Arabidopsis thaliana: one gene and its partners. The protein of the gene in region 3 interacts with the protein of the main gene of each other region in a pairwise test. Each region holds a gene or a part of one and is shown on either strand. Other genes may lie near its edges.

Region 1 (5,009 bases), on a different chromosome or scaffold from region 3:
AAGTTTGGACTATTAATCCCCTGTTGGCTGGTTTGGGTCTACATTGCTAAGTGTTCATTATGCTTCTTTTTTTGGTTAACCAGATCATGATCATAGACTACAAGCTGACATATCCAAGTGGAACAGCTACCGCGGTTTTGATCAACGGTTTCCACACTCCTAAAGGCAATAAAATGGCCAAGTATTAACTCGATTTTTTGGCAGTCTCTTAGCTCTCTTTCACCACTAATTCTAGAGTTTTTGATTTAAATAAAATCTGTTTATATGCAGGAAACAAGTGTTTGGGTTTGTGAAGTACTTCTCATTTAGCTTCATTTGGGCTTTCTTCCAATGGTTCTTCTCTGGTGGTACAGAGTGCGGTTTCATTCAGTTTCCAACTTTCGGGTTAGAAGCTTTGAAGAACACGTGAGTATTATTCTTAGTTCTATTGACTGTTTATATATCAACAGATAGAAACAGAATCTTGATGATCTTGAAAAAACTTGACAGATTCTACTTCGACTTTAGCATGACATACGTTGGAGCAGGAATGATCTGTCCCCATATTGTCAATATATCTTTGCTTTTTGGCGCGGTTCTGTCTTGGGGAATCATGTGGCCACTCATTAAAGGTCTTAAAGGAGATTGGTTCCCATCAACTCTTCCTGAAAACAGCATGAAGAGTCTCAATGGTTACAAGGTTCCATACAAAAAACACTAGTACTCTACAATAAACTCCGCCCTTTCTTTCGCGTACTTTCGTTCTTAATTTGTTCATAACTCTTTAGGTGTTTATATCAATCTCATTGATCCTCGGAGACGGGCTTTACCAATTCATCAAGATACTTTTTAAGACAGGAATAAACATGTACGTCAAGTTAAACAATCGCAACTCTGGGAAATCTAGTAAGTATACACCAAAAAAACTATAGAAAAATCGTCATTTCAATAATGTATTATCTGATGTTCAAACGTAAATCGCAGATTCGGAGAAAGATAAGCAATCTATTGCAGATCTTAAAAGAGATGAGATCTTTGTAAGAGACAGCATTCCATTATGGGTTGCAGCAGTAGGATACGCAGCGTTCTCTGTTGTCTCGATCATCGCGATCCCTATAATGTTCCCCGAGCTGAAATGGTACTTCATAGTCGTAGCTTACATGTTAGCTCCATCGTTAGGTTTCAGTAACGCTTATGGAGCAGGGCTAACAGATATGAACATGGCTTATAACTATGGTAAAGTCGCTCTGTTTATCTTAGCCGCTATGGCAGGGAAACAAAATGGTGTAGTCGCGGGACTTGTCGGATGCGGGTTGATAAAATCGATTGTATCGATTTCTTCTGACCTAATGCACGATTTCAAGACAGGACATTTGACTCTGACTTCACCTAGGTCGATGCTTGTGAGTCAAGCGATCGGTACAGCGATCGGATGCGTTGTGGCGCCTCTAACTTTCTTCTTGTTTTATAAAGCTTTCGATGTCGGGAACCAGGAGGGAGAGTACAAAGCTCCTTACGCTTTGGTATACAGAAACATGGCAATTCTTGGAGTTGAAGGTTTCTCTGCTTTGCCTCAACATTGTTTACAGCTTTGTTACGGGTTTTTCGCATTCGCGGTGGCGGCAAATCTCGTTAGGGATAGGTTACCGGATAAGATAGGGAATTGGGTTCCATTACCGATGGCAATGGCGGTTCCGTTTCTTGTTGGAGGGTACTTTGCTATTGATATGTGTGTGGGAAGTTTGATTGTGTTTGCTTGGAATATGAGAGATCGAGTTAAAGCCGGTTTAATGGTACCGGCGGTTGCTTCCGGTTTGATATGTGGAGATGGTCTATGGATTTTGCCGTCGTCGGTTCTTGCTTTGGCCGGCGTTAGACCTCCTATATGTATGGGCTTCATGCCGAGTAAATATTCGAGTTAAAGATAGCTTTTTACGAGTTTTTACTTTTTTGTGTAGCGACAAAAAAATTAGCTAAAGAATTGTGGAAACAAAAAAAACAGTTTATATAGGAATTGTACTTTGTAAGTTTGTATACACAATAAAGTAATAAACTAGTCTCTCAATTCTATTTAAAAATCCATGTCCCAAGTAACTTCTCCCCAAAAAGAAACTCAATATTTTAGAATAAGGTCAAATGGAATTAAATTCCAGAAGATATTTGCCAAAATAGTGATAAAAATACGGTTAAATTGGTATATGTTTTTACTGACAAAAGGCAAGATTCTTCTATTTTAAGATTTATTTCTTTCTTTGAAATCTGCTAAACGTTGTTAGATCACACTTTATGTGTCTGTTTTTTTTTTTGTCAATTCAGCACACGTCATATTTGTATTTTTCAAAGTACCAAACGTGGACCAAAATAAAATCTCGTCAAAAATGGAAACCAAATTTTAATTTGATTTGCACAAAGCCCAATTTGATTTGTTTAAAGTCAAAGCCCAACTTGACCAAAACTACCCCTGCTCATCCAAACCCTAAGCAAAATATCGAGGGTAGTTTCGTATTTTGTTTATATTGAACACAATTAAGTAGGTGAGGAACCTCTATTTCTTCCGTCTTCTGCTGATTTCTGAGCTTCGGAGCTATCGAAAATTCTGAATCTGAAAGGGTAAAGATCCCATCTTTTTCCAAAAATCGATAAGGGAATTAGTATATTCGTTCATTCATCATCGTTCTGATGATTTCGATTTGAATCTGTATCTAGTACTCTGTATTATCAGAAATTTTGATTAGTAGCTTTGATGTGTTCTTGTTTTGCAGTTTGAGTGAAGATGTCTTCAGATCGGAAGGTTCTAAGTTTTGAAGAAGTTTCAAAGCACAACAAAACTAAGGATTGTTGGCTTATTATTTCCGGCAAGGTTAGATCTTGTCTCTTTGTTTGAGAACATCTCTGTTTTTTGACGAACTTAGTTCTCTTCCGCCATTGATTTGTGTCAAAGCTTCGATTTTAAAGTTGTAGAGTTGGATTGTTACTGTTAGAAGCTTTAATCGAGCCCCTCGTAGATTTAGTTGATTCTATGTTAATTCACACTAGAGAAACAGAGTTTGTGTCTACTACTTGGTTATGATCTGTGATTGTTGCGTTCTTTAGGTGTATGATGTGACTCCATTCATGGATGATCATCCTGGAGGCGATGAAGTCTTGTTGTCCTCAACAGGTATAAAACTTGTGTTTCTCTCTGATTCAAGGCGGATTTGAAGCGGCTCGGTGACTGTTTCTGTTCTGATGTGGTGTTTTGTTTGCAGGGAAAGATGCTACAAATGATTTTGAAGACGTTGGTCACAGCGACACTGCAAGGGACATGATGGACAAATATTTCATTGGTGAGATTGATTCGTCTAGTGTTCCAGCAACTAGGACATACGTTGCACCACAGCAACCAGCCTACAACCAAGACAAGACACCAGAATTCATTATCAAGATTCTTCAGTTCCTTGTTCCGATCTTGATCTTGGGATTGGCTCTTGTCGTCCGTCACTATACCAAGAAAGACTAGAAGAAGCCAAAGGCTTGCTTTGATGCTTGTCATTGAATATCTCTACCGATCTCTGTCTATCTCTCTTGCGAAAAAAAGTACTGTTACTGTTGTTTGGTCTTAGACTGATTCTTGTTGAAATTACGAACCAAAAATCATTGTGTTGCTACTAGTTTTACTGTGTTGAGTTTATGATGACAGTGTTTTCGACTTTGATGATATAATAAAAGACTGCTTGATTTGCCCAAACTTAAGCTGCTTGATAAAGAAGTGAGAAACTGGATTTCTACAATTGAACAAATATGTTTCATACAATTGTGGAAATGACAGTTTCAGACTCATCCGTTACATTTTAACAAGAATATTGCCTTGTCTTTTTCATTAGTACTACAATAAAAGCGATAAGGATAGTAGTATTGTGTTTTCTCTGTGTGATGAGTAAACAAAAAGAAAGAAGAAAGAAAGAGAGGAGTGAAAACGGTAAGAACCAAACCGCAACAAACTTTAAACCTTGAGAAAACGCAGCCAGACGAGTGCAAGGGCTTTTGTGTAGTGGAAACACTTCATTTCTGGCTTTGATCGACTTCTTCATCAAATACTCTGTGATTGAGAAAGAGTTTCAATCTTGTCGTGAAGCGTCACGACAAGATGATGGGCATCATCAAGAAGCTTCCAGACATTAAGCTGACCAGCCATGCTATTACACTCTTCCACAATCTCATCCATACTACTGTATTTCTGTATGATCAGTTTCCTACGTAGTACTAACGCCGCGATTGCATAGAGCAACAAATCATCCGTTGGCGGTGCTTGTTGCCGGATTCTGCTCCATGGCGACTTCCCAACTCCAGCTCTAATGGCAGCTTGATCAGCCCACATCACTTCCCAGAGACACAGCGTCTGTTCAAAACTCAACTCCCTCCTAAACATAACAAGCACCATCCTGTAAACGAAACTACAATCTTCTGCTTGAAGATTCTCCAAGTGTTTATAAAGCTGAGAGTCTTTATTTTTTATGATCTTTGATACAATGCTTAGCTGTCTTTGAATCCCTGCTTCGTCAAGCCTGAAATTGTGCCGAGCTTTCTTCATGAAACCAACAAAGCACCAGAAAGCCTCGTGATCCTCTGAGATCACAGCGAGGATTGGAGATAACAGATCACTCATTCCTTGACAGTAGCCTATCTCAGGATCATACATAGCATAAGCTTCAAGAATTGCAACTAACCGTGCTGCGTGGTATAGCCTGCAGCTTTCTAAGTGATCATAGTCTTTTAACCCGACAGATTCGGCTAACCTGCGAGCTTTGCTTTCTGTGATTGCTGTTGAATATGGAGAATAATTTGCCCATTCAGAATCCGCTCGTAAAGCATCAAGCCGGATGATACGTTGCCACGTAGAGAAATCTTCGTGTACCGCAACTTCTACTTGGACCTCAGAAGCAGCAGCTACAAGAAGAGAACTATTCTCTTCAGAATTGTTATTACTATTATCCTCCTCCGGCTTTTTTTCATCGCTGTGTGCAAAAGATGAGAGTAGTAAAACATCTTCA
Region 2 (7,367 bases), on a different chromosome or scaffold from region 3:
CTAACAACACATCACACAAGAAACTTATAACTAAGCATGAAACAAAACCAGACCAGTTTGATCTGTAAAGGCTAACAACTAAAAGGGCTTACTTAGTTTCAGTGTCTTGAGACTTTCCAACAAAGCACAATGTAGAACATCTCCGAGAACTAACAAAAGTGACAGTCTTTGTACAACAAAGACCTTGCTTTAACTCTTCAATAGATGAACCCTTATTAGCAGCTAAAGGATGATGAACATACGCCAACAGAACTCTTCGAGATCTTGAAGCATTAACACTCTTAACTAAAATTGGACTATTGGGAACAACCTTGCTCACGTTAAGAGCCATTGAGATAAACCTAAATATCAAAATTGATTCAGATAAACTTATCAAGGCATCAAATTTATAAAATTCTCGATTTTAGAACGACATAAAGATACAATTTTGCTTAAATGTAGAGATTACCCACTTGAATCAAACTCAAAGTATTGATTTTTAAGACAAAGCCCATCAAGGAAAAATTGGGAATTGGAGAGATGAAACAGTGAAGAACACAGATTCGATAGAGAAGAGAGACTAACCTTGTGGGAAGAAATGAAGAAGAAGAGTAATCCAAAGAAGGATTTAGGATTTTAGGGAGAAAGAAGAGGACAAAGAAGGAGAATTATGGGATTAGAAGTGAAAATTGTAACCACAAGAGTTACTTGTGGACCAGTGTGAGCCAACCATGTCCTAAGTTTTCTTTCTATTTCGATTCTCTGGTCATTATAGTATTGGCCCCACTCTTTCCCTTAATATCAATTTGGTTCAATCCATATATTTTGGTATTGCGATTTTTATTCTTATTTTAAATTGAAGGACCAACACTTATATATAAAGAATATACACCAATCTATTTATTATTAATTAGATTTAATTTGGAAATCCATAAAATTTAATACAGTAAAATCTCTATAAATTAATAATGTTGAGACCACAAAATTCTATTAATTTATAAAGGTATTAATTTATCGATAAATTAATATTTATTAATTTACAGAGAGATTTTCCAAAAGTGGTAATTTTTTTTTTAATTTCTATAAAAATTTAAGATTCATTCCATTATCTAAAATATATTTTTAGAACCAATTACAAATAGAAATAATTATCATGTCTAGAAAACAACAAGAAAAGTTTTTGATAGAGTAAAAATATTAAAATGAAATAAAAAAAAACTTATACAAATTTAAGTAAAAAAAAAACAATATTAAAATTATATTTCTCTGTAATTTATGATATTAATGGGACCCTATGTTTATATAAGATTTTCAAAAAAACTATTATCTTATTAATTTATCGATTTGTATCACTTTTTACAGTGGTTCCAACTCGGGACCGAAAAAATTTATTAATTTATAGAGATTATTAATTTATCGAGTATTAATTTATAGAGGTTTTACTGTATGTATCAAAATTTCGTGTGTTGAGATTTAATACTGATCTTAAAATGAGATTCAGTTCGAGATAGGCTGATTAGAGCCATCATCTTGAAGGTATATATTAAGATTCCATATTGTAAGTTTGAAGTAATCAACACTAGTATATATGAGACATAAACGTTGGTTGAGAATTGAATCGATGAAATTTAGTTTTGTTTGGATTTTGATTTGACTGGTTAAGGTCTTATGTACATTTTTCGGAGGATTGATTTCAAAAAAAACTAATGTAATAATTTTATATAATTGCTTAATATACTTTTGGTTTAGGATCAAATTTCTGGTTAACTCTGATTTAGTTTTGAGGTACTGAAAACCTATATTATGTCAATTTGGAGATATATTACAGTTAACCAGATATAACATTAGTAGTTTGATATATCTCCAAGTTGACATAATATAGCTTTTATTCACATGAACATATTTGTTTGATTCAACTTGTTTTACTTCTCTTACAACTATATAATGTTTTATACAAACGATTATTTACATAAGATTACACTTAAAACTCATAATTTTATATTGGCTAAACATATATATTGCTTAATCTCCAAATGACATTATCATTCTCCTTTTTTGAAATCATACGAATCAATGTAAGGTGAAAGTTAGTGAAAACAATATTTTGCATTTTTTGGTGAAACCATAAAGATAGTATTTGTTGATAAATATGGGGATATTTATCCTATATTATCTGTATTTTTCTTACCATTTTTACTCTATTCCTTTATCTACATTACGTCATTACACTATCATAAGATATTTGAATGAACAAATTCATGCACCCACCAGCTATATTACCCTTTTTTATTAAAAAAAAACATCTGATAATAATAACAAAAAAATTAGAGAAATGACGTCGAAAAAAAAAGTAAGAACGAAGAAGAAGTGTTAAACCCAACCAATTTTGACTTGAAAAAAAGCTTCAACGCTCCCCTTTTCTCCTTCTCCGTCGCTCTCCGCCGCGTCCCAAATCCCCAATTCCTCCTCTTCTCCGATCAATTCTTCCCAAGTAAGCTTCTTCTTCCTCGATTCTCTCCTCAGATTGTTTCGTGACTTCTTTATATATATTCTTCACTTCCACAGTTTTCTTCTGTTGTTGTCGTCGATCTCAAATCATAGAGATTGATTAACCTAATTGGTCTTTATCTAGTGTAATGCATCGTTATTAGGAACTTTAAATTAAGATTTAATCGTTAATTTCATGATTCGGATTCGAATTTTACTGTTCTCGAGACTGAAATATGCAACCTATTTTTTCGTAATCGTTGTGATCGAATTCGATTCTTCAGAATTTATAGCAATTTTGATGCTCATGATCTGTCTACGCTACGTTCTCGTCGTAAATCGAAGTTGATAATGCTATGTGTTTGTTACACAGGTGTGTGTATGTGTGAGAGAGGAACTATAGTGTAAAAAATTCATAATGGAAGTCTGCAATTGTATTGAACCGCAATGGCCAGCGGATGAATTGTTAATGAAATACCAATACATCTCCGATTTCTTCATTGCGATTGCGTATTTTTCGATTCCTCTTGAGTTGATTTACTTTGTGAAGAAATCAGCCGTGTTTCCGTATAGATGGGTACTTGTTCAGTTTGGTGCTTTTATCGTTCTTTGTGGAGCAACTCATCTTATTAACTTATGGACTTTCACTACGCATTCGAGAACCGTGGCGCTTGTGATGACTACCGCGAAGGTGTTAACCGCTGTTGTCTCGTGTGCTACTGCGTTGATGCTTGTTCATATTATTCCTGATCTTTTGAGTGTTAAGACTCGGGAGCTTTTCTTGAAAAATAAAGCTGCTGAGCTCGATAGAGAAATGGGATTGATTCGAACTCAGGAAGAAACCGGAAGGCATGTGAGAATGTTGACTCATGAGATTAGAAGCACTTTAGATAGACATACTATTTTAAAGACTACACTTGTTGAGCTTGGTAGGACATTAGCTTTGGAGGAGTGTGCATTGTGGATGCCTACTAGAACTGGGTTAGAGCTACAGCTTTCTTATACACTTCGTCATCAACATCCCGTGGAGTATACGGTTCCTATTCAATTACCGGTGATTAACCAAGTGTTTGGTACTAGTAGGGCTGTAAAAATATCTCCTAATTCTCCTGTGGCTAGGTTGAGACCTGTTTCTGGGAAATATATGCTAGGGGAGGTGGTCGCTGTGAGGGTTCCGCTTCTCCACCTTTCTAATTTTCAGATTAATGACTGGCCTGAGCTTTCAACAAAGAGATATGCTTTGATGGTTTTGATGCTTCCTTCAGATAGTGCAAGGCAATGGCATGTCCATGAGTTGGAACTCGTTGAAGTCGTCGCTGATCAGGTTTTACATTGCTGAGAATTTCTCTTCTTTGCTATGTTCATGATCTTGTCTATAACTTTTCTTCTCTTATTATAGGTGGCTGTAGCTCTCTCACATGCTGCGATCCTAGAAGAGTCGATGCGAGCTAGGGACCTTCTCATGGAGCAGAATGTTGCTCTTGATCTAGCTAGACGAGAAGCAGAAACAGCAATCCGTGCCCGCAATGATTTCCTAGCGGTTATGAACCATGAAATGCGAACACCGATGCATGCGATTATTGCACTCTCTTCCTTACTCCAAGAAACGGAACTAACCCCTGAACAAAGACTGATGGTGGAAACAATACTTAAAAGTAGTAACCTTTTGGCAACTTTGATGAATGATGTCTTAGATCTTTCAAGGTTAGAAGATGGAAGTCTTCAACTTGAACTTGGGACATTCAATCTTCATACATTATTTAGAGAGGTAACTTTTGAACAGCTCTATGTTTCATAAGTTTATACTATTTGTGTACTTGATTGTCATATTGAATCTTGTTGCAGGTCCTCAATCTGATAAAGCCTATAGCGGTTGTTAAGAAATTACCCATCACACTAAATCTTGCACCAGATTTGCCAGAATTTGTTGTTGGGGATGAGAAACGGCTAATGCAGATAATATTAAATATAGTTGGTAATGCTGTGAAATTCTCCAAACAAGGTAGTATCTCCGTAACCGCTCTTGTCACCAAGTCAGACACACGAGCTGCTGACTTTTTTGTCGTGCCAACTGGGAGTCATTTCTACTTGAGAGTGAAGGTTATTATCTTGTATCTTGGGATCTTATACCATAGCTGAAAGTATTTCTTAGGTCTTAATTTTGATGATTATTCAAATATAGGTAAAAGACTCTGGAGCAGGAATAAATCCTCAAGACATTCCAAAGATTTTCACTAAATTTGCTCAAACACAATCTTTAGCGACGAGAAGCTCGGGTGGTAGTGGGCTTGGCCTCGCCATCTCCAAGAGGTTTGAGCCTTATTAAAAGACGTTTTTTTCCAACTTTTTCTTGTCTTCTGTGTTGTTAAAAGTTTACTCATAAGCGTTTAATATGACAAGGTTTGTGAATCTGATGGAGGGTAACATTTGGATTGAGAGCGATGGTCTTGGAAAAGGATGCACGGCTATCTTTGATGTTAAACTTGGGATCTCAGAACGTTCAAACGAATCTAAACAGTCGGGCATACCGAAAGTTCCAGCCATTCCCCGACATTCAAATTTCACTGGACTTAAGGTTCTTGTCATGGATGAGAACGGGTTAGTATAAGCTTCTCACCTTTCTCTTTGCAAAATCTCTCGCCTTACTTCTTGCAAATGCAGATATTGGCGTTTAGAAAAAACGCAAATTTAATCTTATGAGAAACCGATGATTATTTTGGTTGCAGGGTAAGTAGAATGGTGACGAAGGGACTTCTTGTACACCTTGGGTGCGAAGTGACCACGGTGAGTTCAAACGAGGAGTGTCTCCGAGTTGTGTCCCATGAGCACAAAGTGGTCTTCATGGACGTGTGCATGCCCGGGGTCGAAAACTACCAAATCGCTCTCCGTATTCACGAGAAATTCACAAAACAACGCCACCAACGGCCACTACTTGTGGCACTCAGTGGTAACACTGACAAATCCACAAAAGAGAAATGCATGAGCTTTGGTCTAGACGGTGTGTTGCTCAAACCCGTATCACTAGACAACATAAGAGATGTTCTGTCTGATCTTCTCGAGCCCCGGGTACTGTACGAGGGCATGTAAAGGCGATGGATGCCCCATGCCCCAGAGGAGTAATTCCGCTCCCGCCTTCTTCTCCCGTAAAACATCGGAAGCTGATGTTCTCTGGTTTAATTGTGTACATATCAGAGATTGTCGGAGCGTTTTGGATGATATCTTAAAACAGAAAGGGAATAACAAAATAGAAACTCTAAACCGGTATGTGTCCGTGGCGATTTCGGTTATAGAGGAACAAGATGGTGGTGGTATAATCATACCATTTCAGATTACATGTTTGACTAATGTTGTATCCTTATATATGTAGTTACATTCTTATAAGAATTTGGATCGAGTTATGGATGCTTGTTGCGTGCATGTATGACATTGATGCAGTATTATGGCGTCAGCTTTGCGCCGCTTAGTAGAACAACAACAATGGCGTTACTTAGTTTCTCAATCAACCCGATCTCCAAAACTCATCCATGGCTTCTTCTCCTTCTCCTCCAAAACTAATCCAAATCCAAACAAACAACAACAAATCCTCATCGACTACATCTCCAAATCCCTCCAATCCAACGATACCTGGGAAACTCTCTCCACCAAATTCTCCTCCATAGATCTATCAGATTCCTTAATCGAAACAATCCTTCTCCGATTCAAAAACCCCGAAACCGCCAAACAAGCTTTATCCTTCTTCCATTGGTCATCCCACACTCGAAATCTCCGTCACGGAATCAAATCTTACGCATTGACGATTCATATCCTTGTCAAAGCTCGATTACTAATCGACGCTCGAGCTTTAATTGAATCGTCTCTGTTAAATTCTCCTCCCGATTCGGATTTAGTCGATTCGTTGTTAGATACTTATGAGATCTCATCTTCTACTCCTTTAGTGTTTGATTTGTTAGTTCAATGTTACGCTAAGATTAGGTATTTGGAATTAGGGTTTGATGTGTTCAAGAGATTGTGTGATTGTGGATTTACTCTTAGTGTGATTACTTTAAACACGTTGATTCATTACTCTTCGAAATCGAAGATTGATGATCTTGTGTGGAGGATTTACGAATGTGCGATTGATAAAAGGATTTATCCGAACGAGATTACGATTCGGATAATGATTCAAGTGTTGTGTAAAGAAGGGAGATTGAAAGAAGTTGTTGATTTGTTAGATAGGATTTGTGGTAAGAGATGTTTACCTTCAGTGATTGTGAATACGAGTTTAGTGTTTAGGGTTTTGGAAGAGATGAGAATAGAGGAGAGTATGAGTTTGTTGAAGAGATTGTTGATGAAGAATATGGTTGTTGATACTATTGGTTATTCGATTGTTGTTTATGCGAAAGCTAAGGAAGGTGATTTGGTGTCTGCACGGAAGGTGTTTGATGAAATGCTTCAACGAGGTTTTAGTGCGAATTCGTTTGTTTATACGGTGTTTGTTAGAGTTTGTTGTGAAAAGGGTGATGTTAAAGAAGCGGAGAGGTTGTTGAGTGAGATGGAGGAGTCTGGAGTCAGTCCGTATGACGAGACGTTTAATTGTCTTATCGGTGGTTTCGCGAGGTTCGGGTGGGAAGAGAAAGGTTTGGAGTATTGTGAGGTAATGGTAACGAGAGGGCTTATGCCTAGTTGTTCGGCTTTCAATGAGATGGTTAAGAGTGTAAGTAAGATTGAGAACGTGAATCGCGCAAATGAAATCTTAACAAAGTCGATAGATAAAGGGTTTGTGCCCGATGAACATACGTACTCTCATCTGATTCGAGGGTTTATAGAAGGAAACGATATCGATCAAGCGCTTAAGCTGTTCTACGAGATGGAATACCGAAAGATGTCTCCTGGTTTCGAGGTGTTTAGGTCACTAATTGTGG
Region 3 (5,656 bases):
ATTGATGGATTATGGTTTCCATGGACCGACAATGTCTTGGCCTGTCCCTGGAACGCTTATGATCGAGCCAACCGAAAGCGAAAGCAAGGTAATTATGTCTTGCATTGCATTGCAAATCTCTCACTGACTCAGCTCTCAGTCTCTAAAACATGGCTTCATAATTTGTATATATATATGTAATATTTCAGGCTGAGTTAGATAGGTTCTGTGATGCTCTCATCTCGATCAGGGAAGAGATTTCACAGATTGAGAAAGGAAACGCAGATCCAAACAACAACGTTCTGAAGGTAAGAAAAAATTTGAGACCACAATTTCAGTTCGGACTAGCCCTCTAGTCTGATACTAATGAACTTTAAAAAACAAACACACACAGGGTGCTCCACATCCTCCGTCATTGCTAATGGCAGATACATGGAAAAAGCCGTATTCACGGGAATACGCAGCCTTCCCCGCTCCATGGCTCCGCTCCTCCAAGTTCTGGCCCACTACAGGTACTTGAAAACTAGGGGTGGCATTTCCCATAGAAAACAATTTGTTATTTGTAAATCGTTTCAAAATGTATTAAATATGTGTGAAACAGGGCGAGTGGACAACGTGTATGGAGACCGTAATCTGGTGTGCACTCTCCAACCGGCGAACGAAGAACAGGCTGCAGCTGCAGTGTCTGCTTAAATGAAGCCACTATGAAGCGATTCGCACTCGCACCAAAACCCACAATGGGGCGATTCGGACTCATACCGGATCCAGAAACGTATCTTTACTGGCTTTTACTTCTCTTCCCAGCCTCATCATCACTTTCACTTTCACTTCCTGTACAATGTACATACGTAGTCCTAAGTTCTTCCCTCATTTATTTAATAAAATACATTTCTTTATGTTCCACTTTCTTATACGTATAACATTCCATTTGGATGATGTGATCACCATCGTGGTTATATTTATGCCATATGATCTCTTTGAAAAAAGTTTGAATTCTTAGGATATTTATTGTTTCATTTTATAATTAGGAAATTTGGCAAAATAACCATAATTCTAGGTTTTATAAACAAACTGACTGACAACATATAGGTTCTGAATGGTTGCATGTAGAGTAAAAAGTGGAAGTGAAGGAGACAAAAAAATTTAGTGAAAGAAACAACCAAATATTAAAGGAAAGGAATCTAAATTTTGAAGTAGTTATTTTTTCTCTCTCCTTTGGGTAGAGTTAGATTTTTTTTTATAAAAAAAAGCTTAATACCAACTTGAACTTCCTTTCCAAAGAAAACTAGGAACTTGGTAGAGTTAAAATTTAATTTCACTTTTCTACATTTTGGCCAAAAAAAAACAAAAAGCAGTTCTAACCAATGCTAATCTTTTCTATTTTAGAGACACACATTGGAACAAAATCAACTCTAAAATAGTGAAAAAAAATAAAGGTAGGACATGGGAGATGCTCTTATGTTTCTGCTAATTTTTTCAATTGCCACTAATCAGACTTGTAGCATTATTCTACTAAATATCAGATTGGACATTAGATCACCTATACTAAAACCATCTCCAATGGTCACCTCTATAAATAGAGGAAAATATAGAGGTCATCATTAGAGATGCCCTAAGTCCTTGAACCAAAACCTGTATTTCCTCACAGAAAATAGATTTTCTGTATAGCCACATTAATTCATTCTAACTAGACTCTCACTGAATCTTTGAGAGGACCAACCTCATAATGATTTTTTCCTATCCTATATACTAATGCTTGTTTTTTTTTTTCTTCCGAAAGGTGATTAAAGGAGCATATTCTCATCGAGCCCTGTTCGGTTACCTCTCTAGCAAACAACTCATCTATCCTACGCTTTATCACTATTTTAGAGCACCTGACATTTCTCTTAAGAACAAATCAACCTTGTAAAGCATATGTGGCTTGATTCAAAAAGACAAACACTAGTGATAGACGCAAGAACCCTAAATAAAAAAAGTTTTCTAGATTCTCAAAACCGTTAGGTCTGACAGACATATATAAACAATTATCGAATTGTTATTAATTAATACGATGTCACTCTATACCTATAATAGAGATTAGGGTTTCCATGTGTTCATTTATCCAACCATAATTAATAACGACAACGGTAATCAATAAGACACATTAAGATTGATCGGTCAAGAGTTATGAGTTTCATAAGTCATCTCCAAATTTTGCGGAAACTAAATATTTAAACATCGGATTCTCTGTTTGTCAGTTGTCAGATCATCTGACTCGCATGCACATGATTCGTCTCAAAAAGGCAAACACGAATGATAGATGCAAGGACCCTAAATCAAGAAAGTTTTCTCGATTCTTAAAACCGTTACGTCCGACAGAAAAACATAAACAATTGTCGAATTGTCATAAATACGATGTCACTCTATACCTATAATAGAGATTGAGGTTTCCATGTGTTCATTTATCCAACCATAATGAATAACGACAACGGTAATCAAACACGACAAATTAGAAATAATCGTTCAAGAGATTTGAGTTTTATAGATTGACTCCAAATTTTACGGAAACTAAATATATAAACATCGGTTTCTTTGTTACAAAAAAAAAACATTGGATTCTCTTCAGTATTTGAGCTTTTATTACTGAAAATACAAATTTTATAATTTCGTAGCTCTGGATTCTGATAGTAAAACTGCAATTGAGAAGGATATTCAAATATTTCAAAATTTTCTAGTAAAACTGCAATTCGTAGATCTTTTTTTTTTGTTCAAAGTTTTGATAAAGCAAACGTCCCTTTTTCCTTAAAATAATTAACTTAGTATATAATAATAAAATTAAGACAGTGCAGTAATTGATAAACAACCAAAGGTTCATTGTACCTTTCTCCATTGTCTTCAATGAATTCCTAAAACTAGAAGAAGCGTTACTTTAGAAAACCAATTATAAAAATCTCCTCTTTCTTCATCAAATTCCACAAAGCATCAGTTTCTTCTCCTTCTCCAAGCTCTCGCATCACTTTCATCGATTTTTCCTCTCTGCGTCGATCCTTCAGACATCGGCGTCGGAGTTTCCGACAGGTAAATGTAAAACACAGTCCACTGTTATTCCCTGCTTCTTAGCTTTCCATTATGATTTTTTGTTGTGATTTTTACTGTTTTCTACGGAAATGCTTTTGATGGGTTTTGTTTAGTTTCCGGTGAAATTTACAGAGAAACCCACAATGCTGAAAATCTGAATTAGGCTCAAGTTAGGAGATTACTACACAATTAGTGCTGTGAGAATGAATATACGGACATGCTTTGTTAAAAAGATTGAAACTTTTGCTTCATTTTGATCAAAAGATTTTAACTTTCGATTCTTTTAGTAAATGGGTCGCTCTTTGTTTGGACTATAATGATCAGACTGCTCTTGTCTTGTGTGATTAGGAATCTAAAAATGTCACGTGGAAGAGGAGTTCCTATGATGGACCTGAAACGAAGTTATGATGTTGAAGACAGGGTGGTGTCCGTGTCTATACCATCAATAATCGAAGCTGATGAGGCTGATCTGTGGCCACTACCTGAGATTGATACCAAGAAGTCGAAATTTCCTTGCTGTATAGTTTGGACTCCTCTTCCTGTTGTCTCTTGGTTGGCTCCTTTCATTGGTCATATTGGACTTTGCAGAGAAGATGGAGTCATTTTGGACTTTGCTGGATCTAACTTCATCAATGTTGATGATTTTGCATTTGGTCCTCCTGCTCGCTATCTCCAACTCGATAGAACCAAGGTATTAGTATCTGCTTCTTTATTAAGTAGAATCTGGTTATGCATGGACTTTGTTAGTTTTGTATCAAATTATAAGAACTTTTTAATCTTTATCAAATGTGTGTGTTTGTGGCAGTGTTGCTTACCACCAAATATGGGTGGACATACTTGCAAGTATGGATTCAAACACACCGACTTTGGAACAGCGCGTACATGGGATAATGCACTGAGCTCGAGCACACGTAGCTTTGAGCATAAAACCTACAACATCTTCACTTGTAACTGCCATTCGTTTGTTGCAAACTGTTTGAACCGTCTTTGCTATGGTGGCTCAATGGAGTGGAATATGGTGAATGTTGCTATTTTACTTATGATCAAAGGGAAATGGATCAATGGTTCATCAGTAGTCCGCTCGTTTCTGCCATGTGCTGTGGTCACGTCTTTGGGGGTGGTGCTTGTCGGCTGGCCATTCCTCATCGGTCTCTCTTCGTTCTCGCTACTACTCTTTGCCTGGTTCATAATTGCTACTTACTGTTTTAAGAACATAATTACTTGAAGCAGTATGAGAGAAATATAAATATGATGTATCACCAAAATTATGTTAATCTTAAGAATTGTTCTCTTTTCCTTTCGGCACCATCTAGCTTTCAACTCCAAAATTATGTTAATCTTAAAAAATTGTTCTCTTTTTCCTAATCCGTAGATTATTTAGAGGTGATGTGTCATAGTAAAGGAAAAAAATATACATATTCGGAGGCCCTTAAGAAAAAAACATACAATATCCAAATAAATGTATTGTTAGGTATTAACAAAAAGAAAAAATATTGTAAGATCTTACAAGCACAAGCAGCAACCATATGAGTTGCATCTAAATTTGCTATTTATATGGAAAAAAGAAGTTTCTCCAAAGTTGTACGATATCAGCTATGTATTTTTTGTTTCGTCAAAAAGTTGTTTATTAAATTCCACAAAGTTGTACCAACAGTGTTAAAACTTAAGTGATCGTAGTAAAAGTAAAACAGAAATCGTATGAAACATCATGGAGCTAATCTTGTATGACAAAATAGTATAGAGTTCTCTTCTACCTAAAATGTTATGTTGTTTACAGATAGACCTCAGAAAAAGTAAAACAACACAGGAGTTTCAGAACCTATCCAAACCAACAGCAGTCACGGTTTAGTTGCAAGCTGCCAAATCTTGACCATCCCATCATCACTAGCCGACGCAAGCAACCGGTTCCCCTCCTGTAGCAGGTTACAATTCCAAGGTCAAAATCATAGACAACATAACCACATGTACTTGGGCCAATGTAAGTCGAGTAATCAATGGCATCATTTCTCTGATCCTAAAACTAAGCTTGAGTATTATGTTCTAACTTCTAATTCACATTTATAAGATGCCATATAGACTATACTTAATCATTGCAACCATGTATCAAGTACGAAATAGTATGCACTTGTGTCTATTACTTCATAAGAAACATGGAACTTACACCGGGTGACCATTGGACAGAGTTTACATCATTTTCATGTGCTTTATTCTTCTTCAGCAAAAGATTATATGAAGGTCCATCAACCTGGTACACAAAAGAATGACTTTAAGTTCAAAGATGAAGCAGAAAAGTTTAATTGTATAGTGGTAAACCATTGGCAAGACTAGGAGAGATAGAATCTGCTGCCTGCATTTGGTTTCTTGTATTGAGATATGTAAGTTAGGCGTGTATATATGGAAAGATATTAACCAAATTCAACTTACAGAGTCATGTTTGCTGTCCACAAACAACCGTATAGCATTATCGCCTGCTCCACTGGCAATAATGTCGTCCCTGTCAAAAATTTAAAATAAAAAGAAAACAAAACAAAACTGAGTTTAAACTCAGCACAGTCTCACGAAAGAGCATTAAAAATCCCAATTTGGATGCATTCGACAGATGACTGGGAGCGTAAATATC
Region 4 (5,333 bases), on a different chromosome or scaffold from region 3:
AGCTTTTGTTGTTTACTTAAACCAAGCCTCTTTTTTATTCTGGATGTTTGGTTTTGGTTTGATTCTTGATTTGGTTAAGTGTCTTTGTGGTGATAATGTTATTGAAGTTATTTTATCTGTGTTTTTTTCTGCAGCACAAGGGAGAGCACGCCTTGTAACTTTGTTGAGGATATGGAGATCATGGTTACACCAGGGTCTAGCACGAGGTCGATGTGCAGAGCAACCAAAGAGTACACAAGGGAACAAGATAACGTGATCCCGACCACTAGTGAAATGGAGGAGTTCTTTGCATATGCAGAGCAGCAGCAACAGAGGCTATTCATGGAGAAGTAAGCTTATTCTTTATTTTATTTTTGTGTCATTACGAAGAGGGTGAACAACACTCATGTGTTTTCAATAATCTTCAGGTACAACTTCGACATTGTGAATGATATCCCCCTCAGCGGACGTTACGAATGGGTGCAAGTCAAACCATGAAGTTCAAAAGGAAACAGCTCCAAAAGACATGGTGTGAAGTTAGAGAATGTGATGGAGTTAACAGACTAACCAAACATCAGAAATCGTGTAATCTTAAGTAATAATGTGGTTAGAGAACAAGTTTGAGAGTAGCTTAGGGACCTTAAAACCTCACACCATTTGTACTACTAATCTTCTTCAGATGCTTAGTGAAATTTTCTCATCTGTTTCTTTCAAGTGTTTGTTTTTCTATCTATCTCTCATGTTTATTCAAAGCTATATGTAATGATGATGATTGAGAGGGATGTGTGTGAACATGTTTAAGCTTGGCATATAGTGAAAAAAATGATTCAGATGCAGAAGAAAGAGACCCAATTGAGAGGTTCACGTGTGAATTTTGGTAGGTGTAAAAATCTGAATCATATCCTTTTTCTTTCAACTATACAAGATTGGTCCCTTTTCTTCTCTTACCATAATTATGACGCACGTGAATGTGTGTGTAAATACTTTGACGTTTACATTGAAATACTGTAATGTAAGTTCAGAGTTAAAAGTACAAACACAAAGGTGAATTTTGTACTAATTAGTAAAGAGATAAGAGTGTTTTGAATCTTGAATATCAAATTATTATTAACAAGAAACTGACAAAAAGATGAGACAGTGTTCATTGAGAAGATCTCTGTTGTTTTATCTTTTTTTTTACATTTCTTGGAAATTGGCAAAACCAGTGTGATGAAACTGTGAAATCTTATCTCGAACCCAATCATTGTTCTATGTTTTTCTTTAATCTCTAAAAGTGAAAAAGTGAATGCATGAAACGTTCAGATACATTCATTATATTATACATTTATACATATGGACATGGTGTACGTATGTACACGGGTGCTTGTTTGATCACGGGCTCACTGACTATAAAAATCATGTTTTTTGGGACATATAGATTCGCTTACATCAACTGTGTGACCAATGGGGTATCTGAATTCAGCTTGTTCGATGTTTTGTTTGACTCTTTTAAACTATTTGGTAGTAAAAAGCCAAAAAGGAAGAGCACTGATTACGAAAGCCTTTTTGTCTTTTTGTTTCTTCTTCTCTAGCTCTCTTTCGTTCTCCTTTTGGGTTAGTCCTTCAAAATAAATGTCTTTAACTTGTCATGTATAGTTTCTTTCTCTCGTTGAACACCAACCATAGGCCTTGCAATGTGAGTCAAAACATGCATTGAAAAAAGAAGTGAATTTCAACATTAAATGCTCTCGTTTAACATGCCTATGGTTCCATTAAGCAAAGTACACACTCTATATATGTCGAAAGAACTATACAGTCGGTGTTTTAGCCCTATAGTTAGATACATTCGAACTGATTACAGAAATATCAAATATCCAGTTCTAAGATCGGATTAAGGCAAATACATTTAAACTACTTCTAGCGAATGAGGTTCACATAGAAAAACTTTTTAAAATGAATCACTAAACAAGATTCATTTTCTTTCTAAATAGTGTAAAGACGAGTGATGCATGCAACTGCTCTCCTTTCCGTTGGTCCCTTGTCAAAATATACGACCGTGAATAATTCTTCCCATCATATTTATCTGTCGGAGAGTTCCAACCTCAAAACATTCTCCTTCTCTTATCAATTCTTTCTAAAATCATAAACCAACAAACTGGGCCTATGATCAATTATTCATATTCAATTTAGCCTATAACTAAAACCACACTGCTTTCGTTACACTGGCCTTCCGACAAGTCTCTTTGACTGTTTTTATCTTAAGCGCCATCAAGTTTTAAAGAAGACAACCCCATATCTTTCCTCCCATGAATCATCGTGTCCATATTGCTATAGTTCATGAAAAAACTAAATACTATCGACAACTGAAGAAAAGATCCGGATCTTGTGGACCGAGTGAATGGTTGGGCCCAATTAGAATGGTCTACCCTAACATCTAGCCGTCTACACGATTGATCATACGTCTAAGAGGGCGAAACCACCAAACGTTTGGATTTTATCTAAATTGATGTACATAAAGCTAACATGATTTTAGTATAAACATTATAAGCATCATGGAAATCAATAAGCTAACATGATTTTAGTAGAAACATTATCAGCTAACATGAATTACTAAAAACATTTATTTTATTTTAAGGAAAAACATACAATACTAAGATTTTTTATAACATTTTTTCTTTGTAACATTATAAATTGTTTTAGTTTCTACATTAATTAAATATATAAAATAAATTCATTTAAATAATATAAGAAAACGGAATCTTTGATTAACTGCTGATTATTGGCCACTGATTAATTTCCGACCCCATCAATAGATGAGATCAGACATACACAACTTAAGTAGACCAAAAAAGCGGTTGGTGTAAGATCCCAAACTCACAGATTCCCAAATAATAGTAATACTCTTCCTCTTCTCAACTCTCACCAGTCACCAGCAGATCATCGGAGATGGGCGGAGACGGAAAAGTTTTCACCTTGTCCGAGGTTTCTCAGCACAGTAGCGCCAAGGATTGTTGGATCGTCATCGACGGCAAGGTCCTACATCTCCGATCCCAGTTTCTCATTCGATTTTCCGTTTTCCCTTAGATTTTGCATCTTATCTTCGTGAGATCCGAAATTCTTGAGTTGTGTTGACTTGGATTTATAAATCTAGAGTTATGTAGTAACAAGTTTGGGGATAGATCTGATCTGATTTGCTAGATTAATGTTACTTTTCTAAGTCTAAATCACAGAGAAATTGCTAAAAACTTACGTCTTTATAATTGAATGTGATAGTTGGTGCTGCTTAAGATGTCTCTGTGTGATCTTGTATCTGTAGTTAAAGCTAGTAAGGTTCATGTAGTTCATGTATGTTCTGATGTATGAACTTTTGATAACCCACTTAATCTAGGTCTCTGATTGTGTGGAATTAGGGACTTATATGACAAAGTTTACATTTTTTGTGTGTTTCATTTTGATGGTTATATATAGGTTTATGATGTGACAAAGTTCTTGGATGATCATCCTGGTGGTGATGAGGTTATCTTGACTTCTACAGGTAACATATAGAGATCACTTTCTCTGTTTGTTAGTTCATGTTTATGTTAACAAGAATGTGTTGTTGGTATTCAGGGAAAGATGCGACCGATGATTTCGAGGATGTGGGACATAGTTCGACTGCGAAAGCCATGCTAGATGAGTACTATGTGGGTGATATTGACACAGCTACTGTGCCGGTTAAAGCTAAGTTTGTGCCTCCTACGTCGACGAAAGCCGTGGCTACTCAGGATAAGAGCTCGGATTTTGTTATTAAGCTCCTTCAGTTCCTTGTTCCACTTCTAATCTTAGGCTTGGCTTTCGGCATTCGGTACTACACTAAGACCAAGGCTCCTTCTTCTTGAAAGATTGAATTGTGGCCTAAGTGAATTGCTTGTGTACGACGTGGTTAAACTCTGTCTCTACCTCTGTTTGTCTTGTAAGACATCATTATATTCTCTATTCCAATCAACTGATAGACCTTTGATTTTTAAGCCATCTACCTTTGTTGTCTTATATCAATCAAATCCATTTACAATATCACTCACACACCAGTCTCAAGTCTCACTTAAAAAGCAGCAACAGGTAAGAGAAAATGATAAACACTGAGCTAATCTGTGCTTGCGCAAGTTCTCTCCATCAGTACCTTTGAATCTGTTCTGAAAGACTGCTTTGATGGAGAGCTTGATCCTCTTGAAGAGCTATGCCCAAAGAAGCTAAGTTTCCCCATTTTCTTTGAGAAACTGCTCATGAATTTGCGCGAATGAGACCTCTGCATATCTCTCTTCATACATATATGTTCTTTCTCTAGGTCGTTGAGTCTCATTCTCAACCTAGCTAACTCGAGCTTCAGTTCTCGGTTTTCTCTCCTCAGAGACGCATAGTTGTCTTTGGGGGACATTGTTGCACTGAGAGCTCCGCTATTGATTCTCCATGACTGCTGTTGTTGCTGCTTTGGCTTTGGCTCTTCGTCTGAGTAAGAAGAGCACAAGGAGCTTCGAAGCTTGAGTTGCTCAAAGTAGAGAACTTGAACTATGGATTGCAGAGGAAGCCGCTCGTTTTGTGCAGCGTGTGCTCCAGCTTCTTGTGAGAGTTTCTGGAAGTCAATAAGTTTTGATAGTTTCTTCTTGTCTGAATCTGATAACCCTTGATGTGCCTAAGAGCATAAAACCTAATAAGTATCAAGTCACAACAAGAGTAAGTAAAATTTTCTTGTAGCAACATACCTTAAGATAGAGATCAATGGCGCGGTATAAACCATCGTGAAGGGTGCGAGCATGAGGCGGTAAGGCTTCTGCGATAAGCAAGAACTTAGAAAGGTCAAGGTTAGCATCGGGAGCTATCTCAGCAAGATAACTGTCTACAAGCTTTGCAACTTTAAACATGGCGGTTTGTGAAGGCGAATGTGGACTATCGCATTCAAACACAGACTCTTCATCCTCACTATCATCTCCTCCTTGCTGTGAGAAATTCACTAAGATTCTGTGAACCGTGTCAATGTCGAACAAAGTGTCTCCTGCATGACGAAAAGACGGGATCAAGAGATCGTCAAGAGTCGCCATATCGAGCTGAGAACCTAACCTCCTCTCAAGATCAAGCCTGCAGGAAACTGAAGTATCAAGAATCACTGCTCTTCTCAGTAACCCGAATAGGAAACTGATCGGAACCACGAGGTTTTCGACTGGCAAAAGCGTAACAATTGTCTCAACAATGGTTTGTTCATGTTCAGATCTCTTTGTTAGCTCTCTCTCAGCGTAACTAACCAAAGAAGCTCCTATACTTTCTGGACGTACACCACGACACTTCATTGCATTCATAACTCTCTGATACAAATCAATCCTCAGAACCGAAAGATCTTCGAT

What was found.
Region 1: the proteins of RTE1 (region 3) and CB5-E interact in a two-hybrid assay, tested with the Arabidopsis thaliana proteins (one study listed by BioGRID).
Region 2: the proteins of RTE1 (region 3) and ETR1 interact in binary tests that used the Arabidopsis thaliana proteins (3 or more experiments, as listed by UniProt).
Region 4: the proteins of RTE1 (region 3) and CB5-D interact in a two-hybrid assay, tested with the Arabidopsis thaliana proteins (one study listed by BioGRID).

What each region holds. Positions count from the first base shown.
Region 1 is NC_003076.8:21,756,876-21,761,884, forward strand, and holds CB5-E (cytochrome B5), read left to right. Parts: upstream 1-2,453; 5' UTR 2,454-2,589; intron 2,590-2,741; 5' UTR 2,742-2,752; coding exon 2,753-2,839; intron 2,840-3,072; coding exon 3,073-3,139; intron 3,140-3,227; coding exon 3,228-3,478; 3' UTR 3,479-3,703; downstream 3,704-5,009. Other genes in the region: YSL3 (YELLOW STRIPE like 3), read left to right, coding at 84-181, 271-405, 490-679, 768-885, 964-1,901; AT5G53570 (Ypt/Rab-GAP domain of gyp1p superfamily protein), read right to left, coding at 4,049-5,009. UniProt on the Arabidopsis thaliana protein: Membrane bound hemoprotein which function as an electron carrier for several membrane bound oxygenases, including fatty acid desaturases.
Region 2 is NC_003070.9:24,731,814-24,739,180, forward strand, and holds ETR1 (Signal transduction histidine kinase, hybrid-type, ethylene sensor), read left to right. Parts: upstream 1-2,348; 5' UTR 2,349-2,470; intron 2,471-2,839; 5' UTR 2,840-2,884; coding exon 2,885-3,790; intron 3,791-3,865; coding exon 3,866-4,234; intron 4,235-4,311; coding exon 4,312-4,566; intron 4,567-4,648; coding exon 4,649-4,776; intron 4,777-4,866; coding exon 4,867-5,064; intron 5,065-5,192; coding exon 5,193-5,553; 3' UTR 5,554-5,905; downstream 5,906-7,367. Other genes in the region: AT1G66330 (senescence-associated family protein), read right to left, coding at 93-331; AT1G66345 (Pentatricopeptide repeat (PPR) superfamily protein), read left to right, coding at 5,906-7,367. UniProt on the Arabidopsis thaliana protein: Ethylene receptor related to bacterial two-component regulators. Acts as a redundant negative regulator of ethylene signaling.
Region 3 is NC_003071.7:11,104,346-11,110,001, reverse strand, and holds RTE1 (protein REVERSION-TO-ETHYLENE SENSITIVITY-like protein (DUF778)), read left to right. Parts: upstream 1-2,813; 5' UTR 2,814-3,036; intron 3,037-3,384; 5' UTR 3,385-3,394; coding exon 3,395-4,261; 3' UTR 4,262-4,397; downstream 4,398-5,656. Other genes in the region: GLDP2 (glycine decarboxylase P-protein 2), read left to right, coding at 1-88, 189-287, 374-491, 581-672; emb1345 (Transducin/WD40 repeat-like superfamily protein), read right to left, coding at 4,875-4,949, 5,198-5,281, 5,461-5,530. UniProt on the Arabidopsis thaliana protein: Acts at an early step in the ethylene signaling pathway. Positively regulates ETR1, leading to the negative regulation of ethylene responses.
Region 4 is NC_003076.8:19,787,752-19,793,084, reverse strand, and holds CB5-D (cytochrome B5), read left to right. Parts: upstream 1-2,712; 5' UTR 2,713-2,904; coding exon 2,905-2,991; exon of another isoform or gene 2,992-3,426; coding exon 3,427-3,493; intron 3,494-3,567; coding exon 3,568-3,836; 3' UTR 3,837-4,018; downstream 4,019-5,333. Other genes in the region: ICK6 (inhibitor/interactor with cyclin-dependent kinase), read left to right, coding at 135-329, 408-477; AT5G48800 (Phototropic-responsive NPH3 family protein), read right to left, coding at 4,082-4,627, 4,698-5,333. UniProt on the Arabidopsis thaliana protein: Membrane bound hemoprotein which function as an electron carrier for several membrane bound oxygenases, including fatty acid desaturases.